Linked DNA regions of Drosophila melanogaster. The protein of the gene in region 1 purifies or fractionates together with the protein of each later gene. This does not show direct contact. Each region holds a gene or a part of one and is shown in the gene's direction. Other genes may lie near its edges. The genes, in order: Idh and betaTub85D.

What was found.
Region 2: the proteins of Idh (region 1) and betaTub85D purify together in Drosophila melanogaster (affinity purification with mass spectrometry, with the first as the bait; one large-scale study listed by BioGRID). This does not show direct contact.

What each region holds. Positions count from the first base shown.
Region 1 is NT_037436.4:8,352,618-8,363,403, reverse strand, and holds Idh (isocitrate dehydrogenase), read left to right. Parts: upstream 1-4,463; 5' UTR 4,464-4,746; coding exon 4,747-4,848; intron 4,849-5,278; exon of another isoform or gene 5,279-5,331; coding exon 5,332-5,388; intron 5,389-5,468; coding exon 5,469-6,749; 3' UTR 6,750-7,000; downstream 7,001-10,786. Other genes in the region: Culd (CUB and LDLa domain), read left to right, coding at 7,196-7,399, 7,462-7,792, 7,856-8,260, 8,794-9,162, 9,221-9,925, 9,992-10,786.
Region 2 is NT_033777.3:9,407,114-9,417,212, reverse strand, and holds betaTub85D (beta-Tubulin at 85D), read left to right. Parts: upstream 1-6,930; 5' UTR 6,931-7,160; coding exon 7,161-7,553; intron 7,554-7,612; coding exon 7,613-8,560; 3' UTR 8,561-8,830; downstream 8,831-10,099. Other genes in the region: alpha-Man-IIa (alpha-Mannosidase class II a), read right to left, coding at 475-624, 721-1,783, 2,018-3,490, 3,823-4,352, 4,406-4,519; Task7 (TWIK-related acid-sensitive K[+] channel 7), read left to right, coding at 5,196-5,325, 5,389-5,544, 5,611-5,672, 5,727-6,127, 6,183-6,456; CG44261 (uncharacterized protein), read left to right, coding at 9,068-9,364; CG8135 (uncharacterized protein), read right to left, coding at 9,504-10,091. UniProt on the Drosophila melanogaster protein: Tubulin is the major constituent of microtubules, a cylinder consisting of laterally associated linear protofilaments composed of alpha- and beta-tubulin heterodimers.

The sequences.
Region 1 (10,786 bases):
CTAGAAGATCGAAGAAGCGACCACGCCAAGAAAGTGATATGGAGCAGTCGAAGATTTCCTTTCCATGCATTCTACTCGTAAAAGACATTTGCATCTGGGCTGGGCGAGAAATGAAATATGTGCCATACCAGATCGGCAATGCGATTAAGATATCAACTTTGGTTCGAGCCTCCCCTCACCTACCAAAAAAAAAAAAAAAAAAGCAGCTCCACAAAGATTGGAGATGAGTTGAAAGCGCTTTGAATATTTGGAGTGCTGAGTGATGAGACCTGGAGAAATTGAGACGAAACTTCAAAGTGGGATGACACCTGGTCCCTGTTCGGGCGCCATTCTGATACTGCTATTCCTGTGCGAATGTATCATTATAGTCATATTTATATAAAATTTAAAGAAATCTTTATAATATACTTATGACCTTTTCTAACTTTATATTTATGGCAATAAGCATCTAAATAAGCTAATTTCTTTGAATTCAGTCATACAGCTTAGAAGACTTGATGAGTTGGTCTGCCGTTCAGCACGCTCCCATCGCTAGCTCCATTGAAATGGAAACTGGCCAGGCTTACTAGCTTACTAGCTAACTGGCTAACTGGCTAACTGACCAACTGACTGACTGACAGCCGCACATCGCGTCTTTAGAAATGGCGCACAAAAGACAAGCTGCTGCTGCTGCTGCTGTTCAGCATAGGAGTTGGTTCGTTTTGGTCTGTTTTTTTTTTTGTTTTTTGTTTCGTATGTTGTTTTTGTTTTCTTCTTCTGTTTGACGAAATTGACTTTCTCCATTCAATATAATTAATAGTAATATTCCGATGCCTTGGCTACACACACGTCTTCAGAATGGTAACAACCAAAGACACACGGCCGCTTGGAATGTGGACAGGAAGTAATTTGTTATTGCAGGCGTGCATTAGAGATCGAAAGGCGTTCGAATATCCATCACATCACAGCAAGATCCGCTGCACGTGCACGGCATCTCAGTGGGTGAATTCCTCGTGGGGGCCAAAGGGAATTCGCACCGCACCACGGGGCGTATGGGTAACAAGTGAAAAGTGTGGAATGCTAGCCGTTCACCCGGGCGCATGAGTGATGTGCGCCGGTATTTACGAGCATTTTTCTATACGTATTTAAAGATCTGCCACATATTGTTATTTATGCAAATTGTCTTCATTCGAGGGCGCTGGCTACTGCTCACTTTCAAAACGACAGACAGAAAACATATTTAGCTAATATTTAGGATGGCTTCTTCTGCTGTTTCTACTGCTGCTTTTACTTTTCTCCTTAGCATTCCGCTGGCTGAAACTAAAAGTAGTTTACCAGACGCTTCTGTCTTGGGTTTAATTTTTTTTTGTCATCTGTTTACATAACGAGGAACCACAAAAAAAAAGTAATAGTTTAACAATGCCAACTAACAAATAAGGCAGTGCGGGCACGCACTCCACGAAACTATCTGCCATCCGATGTGTGAATGATGTGCCTGGGCAAGAGCAAGTGGCCAAGTGGCAACCAGTGGCCATTTCACGTTCATTGACATGGCTAATGGCGGGTACTGATGGTTCCATCCAGCAAGGTGAAGTGAAGTGGTGCAGGGCAGAAAACCAAAGCACGTTTACATTGAGGTTTCGCCGGCACGCGTTTATTTTACCTGAGAGGATGGGCCAAAACCGAATATGTTATTTAATGCATTGGCATGCACAAATTAAGACACGTTATAATTGGGGGTTATATAAGCGAGCATAAACGGCGCTTATCTAATGCCACACGGCAAAAGCAAAGAAAGCGTCGCAATTAGACGAGTTTTCTAGCCAGTTTTTGTCAAATAATAGGCCCAAGATCGAGTGATTTTCATGCATGTTCGGTTGGCTGTCGCCGCATTTGATGTTTTCCATGATGTTTGAAAATGCTTATCGGGTGCGGTCCCTAATGAGATGGGTAACTATTTATCTAGGGGGGAAAATAAAATATGTAATTTTGCGCGATAAGAATAACAACGGAACATGTTAATGAGCATTTTCTTGTTTCGTCATTCAATAACTAATTCAATGATTTTATTATCATTACTGAATATCCCACATTCCTTTCAACTGTCCAAACTATGCGAAAGAACGTAGCATTCGCGTCTTAATGGCAGCACACTTTCGCATATTAAAGGCGGTCACAACAAAAGATGGCAATTTTAAATTTTTTTTGCATATTTAAGACCAGTTAAACGGCGCCGGCTAACATTTCACTTTTGGAGCACATTTTATGGATTTTCTTTTAGCGTCATTAAAGCAAACGAACGCACGCTGCTCTCACAAGTTGCGGTAATTGAGAATTCAAATTTTATGTTTGGCGGTTCAGCAAGACGAACTAATACTGAGTGCTGCAGAACTCGAGAGTAAAGCTTAAAGTTCGTGAGAAAGCTCTTCGCAAGCAGCTGATTGAATAACATGTTTTTATCTACGGAATTATCTTCCACACGCGCCACCTCTTGCTCTTTATTGTTGTCGTCGCCAAATCAGTTTCAGTTATTCGCTGCGTCTGATTGGGAGTGGTTCGAGATCTTTCGGTCTGCAATTTAATTAGTCTGTGCTCTAACATTCTAAATTCGGCATTTTAAATATTCTAAAAGGTAAGTGGAGCATTTGTTTAGCCTTATATAAACCGGTTCACACTCCACGCCAAACACCCACACTTCCGATCGCATTCCGCCCAGCTATTTACTGCACTCAAAGGCTGACTTGCAATTTATCTGAGCAAATAAAAAATGGTGGATTTCCAGATCGGTTGCAATACGTAAATTTGCCGCAATTCAAGCCTCCTTAATGCAAATAAGTTGCGCATTTTAACTTTATGCATAACCTCTGGCCCAACCTATTTGGGCCCGAACTTTCCCCACCGGTCTGTTTTCATATGCATTTTATTTGTCTGCCGCTGTTTTGTTTTTTTCTTTGCACCGGTTTGCCTCCTCGAAAAAGAGAGATACGGATAAAAAAAGTGTGAAGAGACGACAGTGTGAAAGAGGGGGATATATGTGGAGAGAGAGAGACACGTAACCCATTCGACAGGCCTTTTCACATCCACCTGATTCTCCAGGTGCTGTCCAAAGTTTAATCTTGAATTCGTGTCGACAGTTTTAATTAAACCTATACAATTACTATGCATATCTACAAATAGATGGTTCGAGAAAACCTCCAGATAGCTCGTATCTCATTGGGACTTTTGCATGCACAATTTGGAAATGTTTTTAACTTTCTAAGTTTGTCCTATGTTTTGAGTGCTTAAACAACTTAAACAGTCGACGTTTATTTTTTTCATTTATCAAACTAGAAGTCAGATCTGAATACAATTAATTACTATAATTAGATTATCGTAAACTTATATTTGATAAGGATAGATGGACTCTTTTATTAACTTGTCAGTCGAAAAATTAAAACCATAATTTTATTAGGTTTTCTTTTTTATTTCTAGCGAATTTTGTATTAACAGTTTCATAAAGTTCAAGGGTCAAAAGTCATCATGCAATCTTTTTATTTCAACAATAAATATTTCTGGGACTAGAAAAACACCAGATGAGAAAATATCAGATTAGATCTAGATAATTTATTCGCCCCGTCATTACCAGCTTATTTACCAATCGCAAGTCTTATCAATATCGTACTATGTTCGAATTCTCCCAGTTGGACTAGAAAAAAAAACGCTTGTGAAATTCGTTTGGTGAAAGCATAAATATTGTTATTATATATAATTGTGGGCGTGGCCTCAGCTTATGGCGTGTTCGGCGATCGCGCCACCTCAATATGTTAATTAGGTACACATGTACCTATAAAGACTTAGAGATATTTATATTAAAGTCAGACAATGGATCTATTAAATATGAGAAGAAAAATCCAAAAAAACATCACGCAATTGCTATTTTAATTTGGAAGTAAATGGCATTGACTGAGTAGATAAGAATGGTAGACGTTTCAAGATAATCAGAGCGAGCCTCCTTCGCAACAAAAAAAAAAAAAGATTGGCGCCCAAGTTCAAATATTATCTAAGCTTTAACATGTCAGTTCGACTATCGTTATCGATAGTACCGCACGTACCAGCTGATTTTGAATTCGGGTGAAGTTGAATAAATAAGCTTAATGCCACGCGCTTTTCTAATTTGTATTCCTTATCAAAACAAGTCGGCCGTGAACTTTAAATAAAAGTGGCTAGCCCGCAATAGTGGAAAAGTTTTTCGCCAGCTGATAAACGCAACAGTTGTCATTCGGAAGAGAGGGACAATGCCACCCGCAATGCGAAAGCGATTGACAAGTCAGCCGGCGATAACGATTACATGTTTACGCGTTCGCCGAGTGCTTATTGTTTTTTATACTCTCGTTACATTATTAATTAAAACACTTGCTTTTAAGTGTGCCGAGTGTTGTGAGAGCAGCTTATCAAAGTCCGAGGTTCTAAATCTTATCTGACTGGGCATTTAGAACGTTGTGATTACGCCGATTGCGCAACAATTTGACGATTGTACGCCACCCAAGAGAGTCGGAAACTGTAGCGCTTAACGGCACTTTACAGTTATCAGTTACGGTTAGAGCGCGTCTGACGCCCACAGCATTTAATTTTGCTTTGTCCGAAAATTGTTCTCTTTCCCGGGACTCCAGTGTCATATTGTCTCGTATTGTTTCACATTGGTGACAAACACTATCGTCTCTCGTTTCCAGTCGTCGGTCGGTTCATTCATAATAATAATACCCACATCCACACCAATCCGGTTGTAAAATGTTCGCCCTGCGCCGCACAGCCGCAATGATGACGTCGGTCCACCGGCAGCCGCATCTCAGCCAGGCCGTTTTTCGGGCCAATTTCGCCATCAGCGCCGCGGTAGGTCCTCCTTGTATCCTCGCCCTCTGTCGCTCTAAATCTCTTTGCTTACTAAATTTCGGAATAGGGTGGGTCGATGAGCAGGAGAAAAAGATATTTTGAATTTTTTGAAGTCGGTCTCAATATTAAGATTATAAACAATCACGTAGTCACCTGTGCTGCTAGCATCCGATAAATAGGATTACTATATTTACTGTTTATACAAAAAAATTGAACAATTTTTTCTTAAATTTATAACCTATGAATGCAAAGTAGAGATATTAACTTTTAGGCAAGTACCTTAATAATTACGTCGTCACGACGAAATATTAAATATTACAAAGTAAAGATAAGGGATTACTTTTGAAACACGGTGTATTTTAATTTCCATCCATCAATATCGACCCACCCTATCCCAGGCTGATCAAAGTTTACTTTGCTTTGACCAGTTGTCAGTTTATTATCGTCATACATATAAGTTTCGCCTGTATCGCCTGTGCTTAGGACCCCAAAACCCATAAGATATCCATGGATAATGAAAGGATGTCCGCCGTGAGCGAGGTGAATACCCCAATACCGCAGCATTCAGACACAAATCCATTTTTCATGTAGCTAATAAGATTCCCATCCTGCCCTTCAAGCACTCAAGTGTGGTATGCTCTCCCGAACAGATGGCCCAGAAGATCAAAGCCGGTCCCGTTGTGGATGTCCTCGGTGACGAGATGACCCGCATCATTTGGGACTCCATTAAGAGCCAACTGATTCTGCCCTTCCTGGACATTGAGCTGCATACCTACGATCTTGGTATTGAGAACCGCGATAAAACCGAGGACCAGGTCACCATTGACTGTGCTGAGGCCATCAAGAAGTACAACGTGGGCATCAAGTGCGCCACAATCACTCCCGACGAGAAGCGCGTAGAGGAGTTCAACCTGAAGAAGATGTGGAAGTCGCCCAACGGTACCATCCGTAACATCTTGGGAGGAACCGTCTTCCGTGAGGCAATCATCTGCAAGAACGTGCCCCGTCTGGTGACTGGCTGGCAGAAGCCTATTGTGATCGGTCGCCATGCCCACGCCGATCAGTACAAGGCCGTCGACTACGTGGTTCCCGGACCCGGCAAGCTGACCCTCACCTGGAAGGGAACCGACGGTCAGGTGATCGATGAGGTCATTAATGACTTCAAGGGCCCCGGTATTGCCCTGGGAATGTTCAACACGGACGATTCCATTGTGGACTTTGCCCACGCCTCTTTCAAATATGCTCTGGACCGCAAGCTGCCGCTGTACATGAGCACCAAGAACACCATTCTGAAGAAGTACGATGGACGCTTCAAGGACATATTCGAGGACCTGTACAACAAGCAGTACAAGAAGGAGTACGAGGCGGCGGGCATCTGGTATGAACACCGTCTCATCGACGATATGGTTGCTTATGCCATGAAGTCGGAGGGTGGCTTCGTGTGGGCCTGCAAGAACTACGACGGTGATGTGCAGTCGGACTCCGTTGCCCAGGGCTACGGATCTCTGGGTCTGATGACCTCCGTGCTGCTATGCCCCGATGGCAAGACCGTGGAGGCTGAAGCCGCTCACGGAACGGTGACGCGTCACTTCCGCTTCTACCAGCAGGGCAAGGAGACCTCCACCAACCCCATTGCCTCGATATTCGCCTGGACCCGTGGCCTGCTGCATCGTGCCAAGCTGGACAACAATGAGCCACTGAAGCAGTTCGCCGACACCCTTGAGCAGGTGTGCATCGACACAATTGAGAGCGGCGCCATGACCAAGGATCTGGCCATCTGCATTAAAGGCAACATCAACGCCGTTACTCGCAGGGACTACCAGGAGACTTTTGAGTTCATTAACACGCTGGCCAAGAACCTGGAGGGTGCCCTGGCCAAGAATGCCGTTGCTGCCAAATGACTATCCGGCACTCAGTCCGAGCAGCAGGCCTCGCATCTCTAGAAAACTACTCAGCGATGCCTTGTCCTCGTCACCATATTCACAATATTTCCATTCGTTTTTGTAGATGTGCATGTCCTAGGCTAAAAATCCGTGTCCTCGATGCATGTTTCCCACTGTTTCATTGTCTCTGCGAGACGCAAAAAAAAACCCTGATTTCCCTTTAACGTCTAACGGAAAAGAAATTTCAAATAAATGTATTTTTATACCGGACTCGAGAGGTCTTTAACCCAGTCGAGGGTGGGCTCGTTACGAGGCCCGGTCCACTTGTGCGGCTTCTGATGGCTCTGGGTTTATTGGATTTGCCAGCGAAATGGCCACAGTTGTGTTCTAACACTTGGCGGCACCAGACCGAGACGGTTCAAGCGGAAGGGGCTCAGGATCCTGTTAGAAGGACGAAACTATCGATGCTAGCCGAAGCATTGGGCTATGGCTACCTGCTGGCCTACGTGATCTGCCTGCTCTGCTGGCCAGGAGAGGCGTATCCCGCCAGCAGTAGCTACCGGGATCTGGATATATGCAATCATTGGGACGGAAGACGTCACTTCCTGGAACTGGGAAGTCCAGCTGGAGAGGTGCACGCCAGGAATGTGACTACTACTGCCTATAGAGTAAGTGTATTTACAAGCTTCTCCAGACGGGATTTGGTCAGCAATTATGAACTTAAAAACAGAGCTCGCCGCTGGTTTTTAAGAACGATGCAGTGGCCGGGGATGTGTGGTACCAGTGCAGCCTGGAGCTGGTCACCTGTGCCGAGTGCGTCATCCGAGTGGCCTTCACCTATGCCAACTTCTCCAAAAGTTGCGGCAATACGGGTGGCAAGTCCAGCATGTGTCCCTGCGAGCATATCCAGTTCTCGGAGCCGCCCTATGATTCCACCATTTCCGGCCAAGAGTTCTGTGGAGATGGCAAGGTGTTTCGGAGCAAAACCAGGACACTGCAGTTGAAATTCTTCTACAGAGCCAGCAATGCGCACGTGTTCTCCCTTCAATACTTCTCGGAACGTAAGATTTAGAATCAGTTGGTAGGTTTTTAAGAATGCTCTATCCGGATTTCCCTCGGAATAGGCAACGTGCGGATAGTCAGTGGCTCCCCCAAGCAGTCTATTGTGGGCAATGGGAGTACAAAGTCCCAGCCACAAGTGATCTCCACGCCGTATTTCCCGATGGCATATCCACGCGACTATGGTATCGAACACATCCTCACCTGCGAGGCGGACAACTGCCAGGTGCGTTTGGATTTTACCGACTTCCAGCTGGGCCTCACCTCCACCCTAGAGATCTTCGACTCCAATGGCCAGATGCTGGACTCCTATACGGGTGAGCACTTCCGTCCGCCGATCACGGTGAGCAGCGGCAAGTCTCTGCTCCTGCAGTTTCGAGGAAATTCCGCCACCGGAGTGGGTTTTCGCGCGGAGGTTAGCTTCGTATCCTCCAAGCAGCTCAAGGACGAGCGACTGGTGCCCTACACAGGTAAGTGAATGGGTTGCAGTGCACTGAACAAAAACTAAGACTATCAAACAACTCAGATCTAAGGTTAAAACACAAATATTCCGCAGGATTAAAAAATTCGAGGTTTTTAAAAGTATAGAACATTATGCTTATCTTCATTTTAGAACTCGCAGATTGATTAACTTTTTAAATGGATTAGTATATCTTTTCTCTGTAGGAATAGGGACATTTTAATGATTTTCGGATTAGTCGAGCACTTGAAAGTCTGCAGGCAATTGTCATATTGATTTTGGCGAAGGTAGTGGGTGGGGTGGGCACTTGGCGAATATCAATGTCAATGCAAGGCGTTGAAGTGGAAACTGGGTGACTCTGGTTGGGTTCGGTTTGGTAAGACAATCGATTTCTTGGATCATTGCCCGTAGGGTGGTTGGCAAATACTTGTATATAATCCGGAATGGGGTTGGTTATGCACTATTGCGACAGGTTGGATCACAATGCATGATGCAAGAGCACATAAATAAATGCTTATGTACATATCTCTATTACACCTCTAGATTGCGGGGGAATGGTTACCGGACCTGGTGGCGCCATCACCATGATGAACATGATCGAAAATGCCACGGACGTGCGGCTGTTTGACTGCATCTGGATTATAAAGCCCGGCAACAACTACATGATGATGAAAACCCACATCTCGTTGAGAGTGGATGACTTCTACGGCATGGCCGCCAGATCTGAGCTCACAATACGGCAGGGCACCACCTCGGATGCCGTGGAGATCGAGAATGTGATGTGGCCGAACAATGGGCTGAGCAAGGAGAGTCATGTGGCGCCCATCCTCAATGGCTACTACATTCGACTGCGTGGGGTATTCGGGATGTCCTCCAAGCTGGCCATCGTCTACAGCGTGTTCAACTACTTGAGTGAGTTCGATTGGAAAATTTAAATTTAATGTTTAATTAACCAATTCGAATTGCTTAGATTGCTATATTGGCTCGGAGTTTCTGTGCGGGAACAATCACTGCATATCCATTCGCCTCCACTGCGATGGCTTCGACCATTGTGGGGATGGCAGCGATGAGCCGGATTCCTGCGAGGAGGACTGGGCACACCTGCATCACGATCGTCGCTGGTACTCTCACAAGCCCAACTATTATTTCCCCAAGATAGACCAGTATCCAGATCTTAAGACGGCCACGGGAATCTTTATCATCAGCACACTTGGCATATTTGGTGTGCTGTCCGGCTGGATGGTGATCCTGTACAGGATGGGGGTTAGAGCACGACACCAACGTGAGCTTCAAAGCCACCTGCAGACGATCAGTGAGCTGTTGGATCGCCAGGACGAGGATCGCACGCCCGATGAGCCACCCAGCTACGAGGCACCACCCGATTACGAGGAGGTCATCAAGGTAGGAATGCAACAGGAGCTACGGGAGCCACGTCGCCAGAGACGGGCCCGTCGAGCTCCGCCTAGAGATCGGAGCTGCAGTCGCGCCGCAAGCAATTGCACCGTGCAATCGGTACTCCCACTGCATCGCAGCTGCACCCTGGAAAGGGATCAAGAACAGCCCAGTACCTCGGCGGCGGCAATGACCCATGCGGTGGCTGCCACGGATACAACGGAGGATGCCGAACACGTCCAGACGATGGCCCAGCGAATGCTCCTCGCCACGGCTATTTGTGGTAGGTCGAGAGTTCCCCCAATCCCGCCCTGCAGTCGCTAACTTACCCACAGAGTCCCACTTGCAGGCACTGCAGGCACGTCTCTCCCGGCAGCAAAGGAGTCAGGGCAGCGGGTCCAATCCGTGGGGATTTCAACGAGCCCGTCATCGTTATCCGCTGGGGGTGAACTACCCACAGCAGGTGGGTCAGCCACAACGCCCGGCAGCACGGCAGATGAGTGCACCCAGGGAGGCGACTCACTTAGCATTTCACTCACTCTAGGCTTGCCCTCCACCACGGCAGAGAGTCCTGTGACAACCGACCAGAACCAATTGCAGAAACAAAGTCCGGAGCAGACAATCAGCAATTGCACGGAGCACACCTTCCTAAAGAGATCGTGGTTGGTGGTGCAACAGGTTCCACCTGGCAGGGGTTACCGTGTCCGGAGGCTGCGACATACCTTCTCCTCTCCTGAAGCATTCACTAGCGATGAGCTGCATCTGCCGTACCCGGATTTCCTGAGCTACGGCACTAATCTTCCACATGAACGGAGCAGTAGTAATTTCGGATCCGAGTTGTCGAGGGACCCATCGAGTTATAGTGTGGGCAAACGAGCTCGCTTGACGCCCGAGGACACAAGTGGATCGGAGACCATTACCCAGGAGATGGAGCAATCCAACCAGACACTCCAGTCCCATGTGATAGTGGAAAGTCACCCGAATCACAGCGAAAGTGAGAGCGAAGCGGAGCAGCAGGTGTCCTGCTTTGGAGCCGTAGCCCAGCGGCCCAAGAGGCGTCATCGGGGTCATGTGAGGAGCCGATCCTTTAGCAATGCCAGAGGTGGCAGTGCCGGAAGGAGGCGTCTCATGCAGCGCAGCTCGT
Region 2 (10,099 bases), on another chromosome or scaffold:
TATTCAATTTGTAAAAAACAAACGTCGAGATTAATATCATTGCAGTTGCGTCATTATCACTAAGCCTACTTTACAGTTAAACGTTAGTTATAGTTACGATTCATTGTTATAGGCAATAACCCCATTGGGGATATCGAGTACAGACATGTATTGCTTGCTGTGGGACTGGATGGATATCACAAAAAAACGTAAAAAACTAGGGGAAACAGAGTAAAACGTGTAGTTACACGGGGGTGCGAAAAATACACCGCTGCGTCATAGGATTGAATTTCCAAACCCTCGTGTGGAAGCTTGAATAAATAAATGATACGTAGTATGGATTACGCATTACGTCTTTCGGTGCAGTCAGTGCTTAAGTCGAACATTAAACGAAGATTGCCTGTATTGCAGTGGATTAGCGTCCGAGATTCATAGGTTGTGAGATGGTCGCTTGGCTTCAGTTTCTGCTTTATCCTTTGCCATAACACGTTGCGATCAGCTTGAGTGACTGCTCACATAAGCGGCGGTTTCCATGGGGCACACTTCCGGCGCCACCATGCCATCCAAGTGCTCCAAATTCTGCAGGAAAGTCAGCGTCGTGCGCTCGCATCTCGCCACATTCGGCAGTAGGTGGCACACATCCAGCTGACGAACGAACAATTAGTCAAACAATATTGTTAATTATAAATAAATACCATTTCCACTTTCTTTGATATTAATATAATAAACTTCTAAGCTCACCTTCTGTGTATGCTCCTCTGGAGTGCCGCATTGCATCAGATTGGTGCGGTGCAGAACGTAGCCTACTCGCTGGGTTTTGGCCGAGCTCTTGGTTAAGCGTCTCATCACCGACACATCGAGATCCTCACGAGCCGAAGGATGATCGCCACCAAATTGCCCCTGTGCCCCGATCCACTCATTTTCAGCGAATATAAACTTGTCCAGTGGATCCAGCAGTGACTGCGATGCTTTGTGAGCGGCACTTGTCAAATAGCCGGCAGGATGAAGCTCTGACGGTCGGACACAGTTGTTAACCTTCTCCAGCACCAGCCGATAAATATGCAGCACCGGCTTGTTGTCCAAAACACCCTGTCCCAGGCCGCGTTCATCATCGCTGGCCAGGCGACGATCTTGCATAATCTCTAGCTCGCCCGAGGCCAGAGAAGATCCACCCAGCGGTTGACCCGTGAGGAGAGTGAGTCGCGTATTGGCATCCTCAATGAACATACCAGAAGGTATGGGATAATAGTTGGCCTGCAAAGGTAATTTGTCCAAACGCCGCCTCTTGATAAATTGCAATCCATTGAGATCCGTGTAGAAGATATCGCCGCTGTCGATATGCGTCTCCAAGCGCATCACGATCTCCGTGTTGTCCAGTGAGCCTATATCCACCAGATTGCGAATCTCAGGTGCACCACCGCGCATTATCGTCTGGTGCACCACGCTCGGAAGTCCCACGCTCACGGACGACTCCAGTTTGCCCTTAGTCACCAGGACCACTGGCTGGCCAAGCTCGACTGGCGAAGCTGGTCCATTGGGCAGGAACAGATAGGCACCGGATCTATCGCCATGCGATCGAACGCCATACTTGAGGAACTTGAAGTGCACCGGTACATGTGGGCTATCCTGAGTAAGCTGAATGGACTTAAGGAGACCCTGCTCCGAAAAGGCCAAGGTGGGTCCGTTACCAACCCGCAATGAGATCTCTCGAGGATCGCCAAACTTCACATCCTCCGGATATTGGCCCAATGGTAACGAAGTCGGGTTTTTACGGAGCAAGAGATTCGATGCATACGAGGTGTGCCTGTAAGTAACATTGAAATGCTTATTGAAAAAGTATAAATAAATAGTATAAATAGAAGACAATTACGGCATCTGGTTAATGAAATATTAATATCAATAAATAAAACCTGCACTCTATAATGGTTTAAGGAAACGGCATAGCGAAACGTGTTACGAAAATGTACAATTAATACAGAAAGTACGGAAAGGATTCTTGTTCCTTTGATAAATGGGTAATCTTTAACTGGCTACTCACTCTGGCTTGGAATCGGAGATGGTTAAAACGTAGGTGGCCAAGCCCATGGGCGGCACCCGAGCCTTGAAGATGATGCGGTACTTGGTGGTGGAGCCTTGTGGGTGGATAGTCTTTGTGAGTGTGTCGTGGTGCCAGCTCCACACCGGGGACACCTGAGCCTCCACCGGATTGTTTGCCAAGTCGGTAACGCTTACAAACGGACTGGATACATAAAAGTCCACCAGCTGCTCCCGCCAGTGGGGCAGGGTGTTGTGCATCACCACATGCTTGGAGGGCAGTATATCCTCGCCCAGTATTATGGTGGTTCGACTGTCCTCCACACCAGATCCTGGCCAGCGGGAGTCGTCGAGCGTAAAGTACGAGAAACTGAAGTCCGGACTGTAGATGGAGGGCTTTGTCAGCAATCGGTAGACCGACTGTTGCATTACCATTTGACAGGCTTTTAAAGCTTCCTGCATGCGTTGCTCGTAGTCGACGACTACGTGCGTTTTTGCTGTGCCAGTTATACCGTCGTGGTGCTGGAACAATGACAGCTCCCTGCGGGCCTGCTCCAGACGTTCCTCGATGCGGGCCATACCGTCCCAGGAGTGCCAGGCGGAAAGCATTTCTGCTGCACGTACATAGTGCATCAGGACGCGGTCCATGCGCTTATGATACGGGCGGGATGTGTAGTAGCCACTCCAATAGTTATCCGATCGATCGGCGTATGTGAAAAAGTCACCGCTTAGCGTGGGAAACTCGGCTTGTCCCGCCCTTTCCGCCTGGTGCACTGCATCAAAGTATTCCTGCAGTGTGCCGAACTGCGCCTGGACATTGAAGTGGGCCTGGCTGTTGATGTGTTCGAACAGCCTTTCGTAGTTCACGCGCTGCACATCCCACTCGGTGTTCTGCTTGAAGCGGAAGTCGTCACCCAACGGAATCAGCAGCACGTTCGTGCGATACAGCTCGGCCTTCTTCTTCCACTGATCAACCAGCAGATCTGAGCGTGCTGCCACATTTTGATCACTGATTGTACGCGGCGGCACCTTCCATGGACAGCTCAAACCGAAGGAGCCCATTCGTTTGAAATCGAACTGACAGCAAACCTTGGGATCTGGACCACAGGTGTGAGGAATGTCGTACGAGTAGAAGGGCATCATGTGGGTGAAGAGAGCTGTGTCCCCTTTGTTGTCCCAGATCTGGCGCCACAGGAACTCAAGCTGTCGCTGTTGGGCCAGTTCCTTCTTAACCGAATAGTGCGTCCTTTGGATAAGCATATTCTTGAAACCACTCTTCTGCAAAATGTACGGCATAGTGGGACTGTGTCCGAAGGGATCGATGGCCCAGGAAGCAGTGGGTGTGACATTCATGAATTGCTTCAACCATGTTTGCCCTTCGGTCAGCTGCAGCAGTACGTTTCGCCAGTGGGAGTTGGCCTCGTCCGGCATTACCCATCCTCCAGTCACAAATTCCAACTGTCCATTCTTTACAATGCTGTAAATAAGTAAATAATTTATTATTTTTTGTTAAAAACTAAATATTGTAGTTGTTGAGACTGCAAAGCTTATCAATTCCTATTTCTGCTTTGGGTTATAAATATTAGGTAGATAAGTACAAAGCTGTTTCGGAAAACAAGCAGCGTGATCATGCATTTTGTTTATCTAAACGCTTTTGACGCAATAACGAAGTAAAATATTTCACTGCTGCACATAACAACTGTGTAAGGTTTATGGAATGCAATAGCAAAATGGCATTGCACTTTGTTTTGTGGGTTAACTACCGTTATTCATTATTGTATCAATACTATATAGGGAAAGCATGCTTACGACTTCATCTGCAGCTTTTTGTTCTCTCCCAAATCGTGATAGAACCGAGCAAAGTAGGAGATTTCCGCCCAGATGAACTTCATCTCGGGATTGTCGTGCAGATGCCGTAGTGCATTGGACAGGATGTGCTTGGTGTCGTGCTGGTAGTATTCCTCAAACGTCTGAATCCATCCAGGATCGTTGTGCGAGTGCGGCACAACGAAGACTTTTAGTTTGTGATGGGCGTTGTACTTCAGTGGATCGTACTTAATGTTCCAGCCCTGTTTCCACACGCCTCCATCTATGTCCTTGAAGGACATGCGATCGTATAGCTCCAGCATCTGTACATCCACATTGGGCACGTCTTGGACCACATCTTGGCATTGCCCTGGCCTCGGGGAACGAGCCACTTTAAGTGGAGGTCTTATTGGATCGTCGCGATTGGATGTTTCGGCAAGACGCGCCCTGAGATTCCGCATCTCCTCCCCGTGCTCCTGCAAACCATTTTCCAGCTCATGCAGCTTGTTCTCAATGTTCTCATAGTTGGGCTGCTAAAATAAAGAAGTTATTATACATTCGAATTGATTTAGAAGCATTTATTTACCTTTATCTGGGTGGCTGCCGGCGCCGCAAAATTGAGGATTATGTACAGGCTGAGGAAAACCAGCAGGCAGCCGGAGCAAATTACCAAAGCGAACCGCCGACGTATTCGCAACATTTTCCGGTTAATTAAGCATGGAAACGTCGACGTCAGAGACACAGCAGCCAACTGCAACAATCCAATCGGTTGGAACTTGCGTGGTTTTTTTTTAGCATAAACAAATCAGATCTGGCGATATGTTTGCTTTTCCCGAAAATCGATAGGCTGTCAAGTTATCGGCGCTGCTAACTGCAAAATGTTAAATTGTTAAAATGGCTTAGAAAGACAAAAACTTTAAAGGCAATTAAAGAAAATGTAATAAAACTCTTATGTTGTTTGTGTATATTGATCCTTTAAAAAAATTATTATTATCCTTAGTTATCGTGACATTACAGCTTTTTAGCTGTACAGAGTTAACAGATACCGCCAAGTGGCAACGCCATCAAATTCTGTTGCTTCTGTTGTGATAAACTAACGGTAAAATCACAATCCTTTATTGAGATTAACGGTCAAATCAATAGATAAAAGAAAACTTATTACATATTTAAAGAATGATGAAATTTTTAAAATTCATTGTATCATATGTTATTCGGCCACTGTAACCGAAATCAACCATTTTTGGCGGATGCTGTGTGTTTGTTTTGCTGACAACTATCGATTTTGTCAGACGCAGCATCTTTAACTGAACGAAAAAGGCGCGTGGTGCAAAATATATTAATTGATTATAGATCGTAGTGATTATATTTGAGACTATATGATGAAGCGACAGAATGTCCGTACCCTTTCCCTGGTGGTATGCACTTTCACCTATCTTTTAATTGGAGCCGCCGTGTTCGATTCCCTGGAGTCACCAACGGAGGCCAAAAGATGGGAATTCCTACAGAGTGAGAAGCTTGTTGATTTATTAACCTAATTTCTTAGTAATGAATTTATTTAATCAATTGTAGCCGTTAAGAACAACTTTGTTAGAAAGTACAATGTGACTGACGAGGATTTCCGTGTGATGGAAATCGTCATCATTGAAAATAAGCCCCACAAGGCCGGACCTCAGTGGAAATTCGCTGGAGCTTTCTATTTCAGCACGGTTGTACTGGCAATGATAGGTAAATTAATTATCTATTAAATATGATTTATTGAATAGATTATAATTCTGTTGTAACTTTCTTTAGGATATGGTCATTCTACGCCAGTTACAATTCCGGGAAAAGCATTTTGTATGGGCTATGCTATGGTAAGTGAACTTACAATCCCAATTTCCAGTCTTCTAAAGATATTCCCTTATTAGGTGGGCATCCCGCTGGGTCTGGTGATGTTCCAGTCTATCGGAGAACGTCTGAATAAGTTTGCATCCGTGATAATAAGGCGGGCAAAGAGAGCCAGTGGAGCTCGCTGTACGGATGCCACCGAAATGAATCTCATGTTGGCCACCGGAATGCTCTCCTCCATAATAATCACCACTGGAGCAGCAGTCTTTTCCCGATACGAGGGTTGGAGCTACTTCGATAGCTTCTACTATTGTTTTGTCACCTTGACGACAATTGGTTTCGGCGATTATGTGGCATTGCAGAACGACCAAGCTCTAACTAATAAGCCTGGCTATGTGGCGCTGAGCTTGGTCTTCATCCTATTCGGCTTGGCCGTGGTGGCCGCCAGTATCAATCTATTGGTGCTCCGATTCATGACCATGTGAGTCCATGTTCTATTGCAGGAAATATCTTATTTAATGGATTTTTAATCACAGGCAAGCAGAGGATGCCAAGAGAGATGAGCAGGATGCTCAGAACTTGGCTGGAAATGCCCAGCCGGTGACCTTCGATGATGAGTCCACGTACAATATGCACGGCAAGCTGCTGGAGAACAACTACACAACGGAGAACGATGAGACCGCCTCCCTGTGTTCCTGCACCTGCATGGGTGGCACCAGGTGCCTGAATCATGAGCAGTTCGTGGACCCGGACTTTCAGCCTACCGACATTATCGAGAGCACCTTGTGCCTGAAGCGAGCCTCCGTCTGATATCCGTACAGCCAGCTGTGGGACTCCTCATTGTAGGAGCCAGAGCCAATGGATCACCAAATCGTAGTTACAATCCTGTAGAGAACCATCCGCCGCCAAAATTTGGTTGTTAGACAAACCTTCCTCCCTACGTAGATTTTTAAACCAGGATGGGTCATAATACATATAAGTTTGGAGAGCAAGGTTAATAGTCTTTAAAAGGCAGTTTTTGCTTAAGAAATAATCGACCCATCCCATTATACACCCATATAAACATTTACAAAGGAGTAAAATCCAGGACATCCATGTCAATATCAATCGTATCATCTGGTCGGTAGCCTTGGAATCCTCTATTGCTTCCAAGGCACCGCCAAATCCATCCCATCTCGAATTTTAGCCGTATATTCGTTTATCTATGTAAGTACTATTAAAGTTTGTGCTCAAAACGGAGAACTGAGTTTTCTGAAATCGGGGTGTGTGAAATGTGTCGAAGTCGGAAATCGTAGTAGCCTATTTGTGAACATTCGGTGTAGTAATCCAAGCCAGGTTCAGTTCACCTCAGTATCAGCTAGCACGTACACGACTAAAATCTAAACCTGAAAAATTATACGTTTAAATATTCAGTCTTTTGCCGATTTTTGCCCCACTCAGACTGTTTTAAAAGCTCGATTTTTTTTTGTACCATTTTTTCGGTGTGAAAAAGGGGCCCTAACTTTACTATCAAAATGCGTGAAATTGTACACATTCAGGCCGGTCAATGCGGTAACCAGATCGGTGGTAAATTCTGGGAGGTAATCTCGGATGAGCACTGTATAGATGCGACCGGAACGTACTACGGCGATAGTGATCTCCAGCTGGAGCGCATCAATGTATACTACAATGAAGCCACCGGTGCCAAGTATGTGCCACGCGCAATTCTCGTGGACCTGGAGCCCGGCACCATGGATTCGGTTCGTTCTGGCGCCTTTGGCCAGATCTTCCGGCCGGACAATTTTGTGTTTGGCCAATCGGGAGCAGGCAACAACTGGGCCAAGGGTCATTACACCGAGGGTGCTGAACTGGTGGATTCCGTCTTGGATGTGGTGCGAAAGGAGTCCGAGGGATGCGATTGCCTTCAGGTAAGTTTTGGGGGTTTGGGAATTTATCTGAAAAAGTTTACCCTACTTTTCTCCAACAGGGCTTCCAGCTGACCCACTCGCTGGGTGGCGGCACTGGCTCCGGCATGGGAACCCTGCTGATCTCGAAGATCCGCGAGGAGTACCCGGACCGCATCATGAACACCTTCTCGGTGGTGCCCTCGCCCAAGGTGTCCGATACGGTGGTGGAGCCCTACAATGCCACCCTGAGTGTGCATCAGCTGGTGGAGAACACCGATGAGACGTACTGCATCGACAACGAGGCGTTGTATGACATCTGCTTCCGCACACTGAAGCTGACCACGCCCACCTACGGTGACCTGAACCATCTGGTTTCGGCCACCATGTCTGGTGTGACGACCTGCCTGCGCTTCCCTGGCCAGCTGAACGCTGATCTTCGCAAGCTGGCCGTGAACATGGTACCCTTCCCCCGGCTGCACTTCTTCATGCCCGGATTCGCACCGCTCACCTCGCGAGGATCGCAACAATACCGGGCCCTTACCGTTCCGGAGCTGACCCAGCAGATGTTCGATGCCAAGAACATGATGGCTGCGTGCGATCCGCGACATGGTCGCTATCTGACCGTCGCCGCCATCTTCCGTGGCCGCATGTCCATGAAGGAGGTGGACGAGCAGATGCTCAACATTCAGAACAAGAACAGCAGCTTCTTCGTGGAATGGATCCCGAATAACTGCAAGACAGCGGTGTGCGATATTCCGCCCAGAGGTCTCAAGATGTCGGCCACCTTCATTGGCAACTCCACCGCCATTCAGGAGCTATTCAAACGGGTTTCGGAGCAGTTCACCGCCATGTTCCGAAGGAAGGCCTTCTTGCATTGGTACACCGGCGAGGGAATGGACGAAATGGAATTCACAGAGGCCGAGAGCAACATGAACGACTTGGTTTCTGAATATCAGCAGTACCAGGAGGCGACTGCCGATGAGGAGGGCGAATTCGATGAAGACGAAGAGGGTGGCGGCGATGAATAATAGGATTAACTTCCCACTCAAGATCACACATGAACACCAAAACAGGCTAGCAGGGGAACCCATTAGGAAGGCACAACACATTGGATCTTTGGGCCTTAGCATATTGTGCTTCGAGGCCCGTCGGTTGTACATATTTCCTATATGGATTCTTCACTGTTCGATTATTTATCATTCACACACGTACAGAAGAAATATGTCCACCTTTGTTAAGCTCATGTTGCAATTGCTGTGATTTCTGGGTTACGAATAAATGTTGATTTATAAGCAGACAAGATTACCAACAGCATTTTGCATATTTTTATACCGTTCAAAAGGCATTGCATAAACCTAAACATTAATATATAAATATTCTGGATTGAATTGAATTTGAGGCTAAGCGCTCAATATCGAAAATCTATATTTTGTTGGCAATCATTTTTTAGAGTTGCCTTACGAAAGTGACAGCTTTCCTTTCTGACAGGCCGTCATCATTCAAGTCATTCAAGTCATTGAAGTCAAGGCACCAAGATGTATTTTCCGACTACTCCAGTTACCTCTCGCAGTGGCTATCTGCGCGGCCGAAAGCGCATAAATCCGCATCCCATATCGCAACTGCAGAGTGGAAAACCGACGTCGGAAGACGACCAGGATAGCACAAATGTTGATCTAGAAGAATCAATCAGCTCAAGCTACTCATCGGAGACGGACATCTCGATGAACGTGGAGGCGCAGGACACCAGCACGGATAGTGGTCTGGACACTAGCCAGGAGAGCAGCAACGAACCGCGCTACTCCCTTCGAAAGATGGATAAGAATCCTCTTTAGTGGTTTATTCAACTGAATGGTCTACATGGGTGTAAAGGAACAGCAGCAGCAGCAGTGGCATCGGGAAATACTTAAGCGCGAGCGAAATATTGAGATACTCGGTAACGAATTGAAATAAAGAGTTATCCATATCCAAAGTCTAGACATCGTCGAAGAGTCCTCGGGGTGGTGGGCCGACAATTCGACCATCTGTCTCCGCCTCGTAGTCGGGGTCTCGGAATCCCACCTGCACCTGAGTGCTCACACCGAAACGGTCGTTGATCTCCTCCGACAGGGATCGCGGTACGCCCAGTGCAGAGGAAGAAGCCACTGCCGCATAGTCAAAGCTGCCGTCGCCATCGCGCAGCAGCCCGTCGGCGGGCGTGCGACTACTGGTTAGTCCACCGGGTCCACCACTCCGGTATTTGCTCAAGTAATCGCTGCCCAGAACCTGATCGGTTCGGTTGAAGTCACGGCGTCTGGCCATCGCCTCCTCGGCACGCTGGCGGCGGCGCTTTTCCCGCGCTATAAGATCCTTTCCCTCCTGCACCAGTTCGGTAGCAATAGTTTCGTTTTGCAGGAACTGCTGGAAGCCGAGAGCATTCAGTGCCCGACTGCCGAGGCTAAACCAAGTGGCCAGACAGAAGGCCAGCATACACATTGGGAAGTAGATATTGAAGCCGTTCGAGATGATGCCAATAACATCCATGTGGCCCATGATCTGCGTGTACACCGTCTCCATAATGCGCTGAGGAA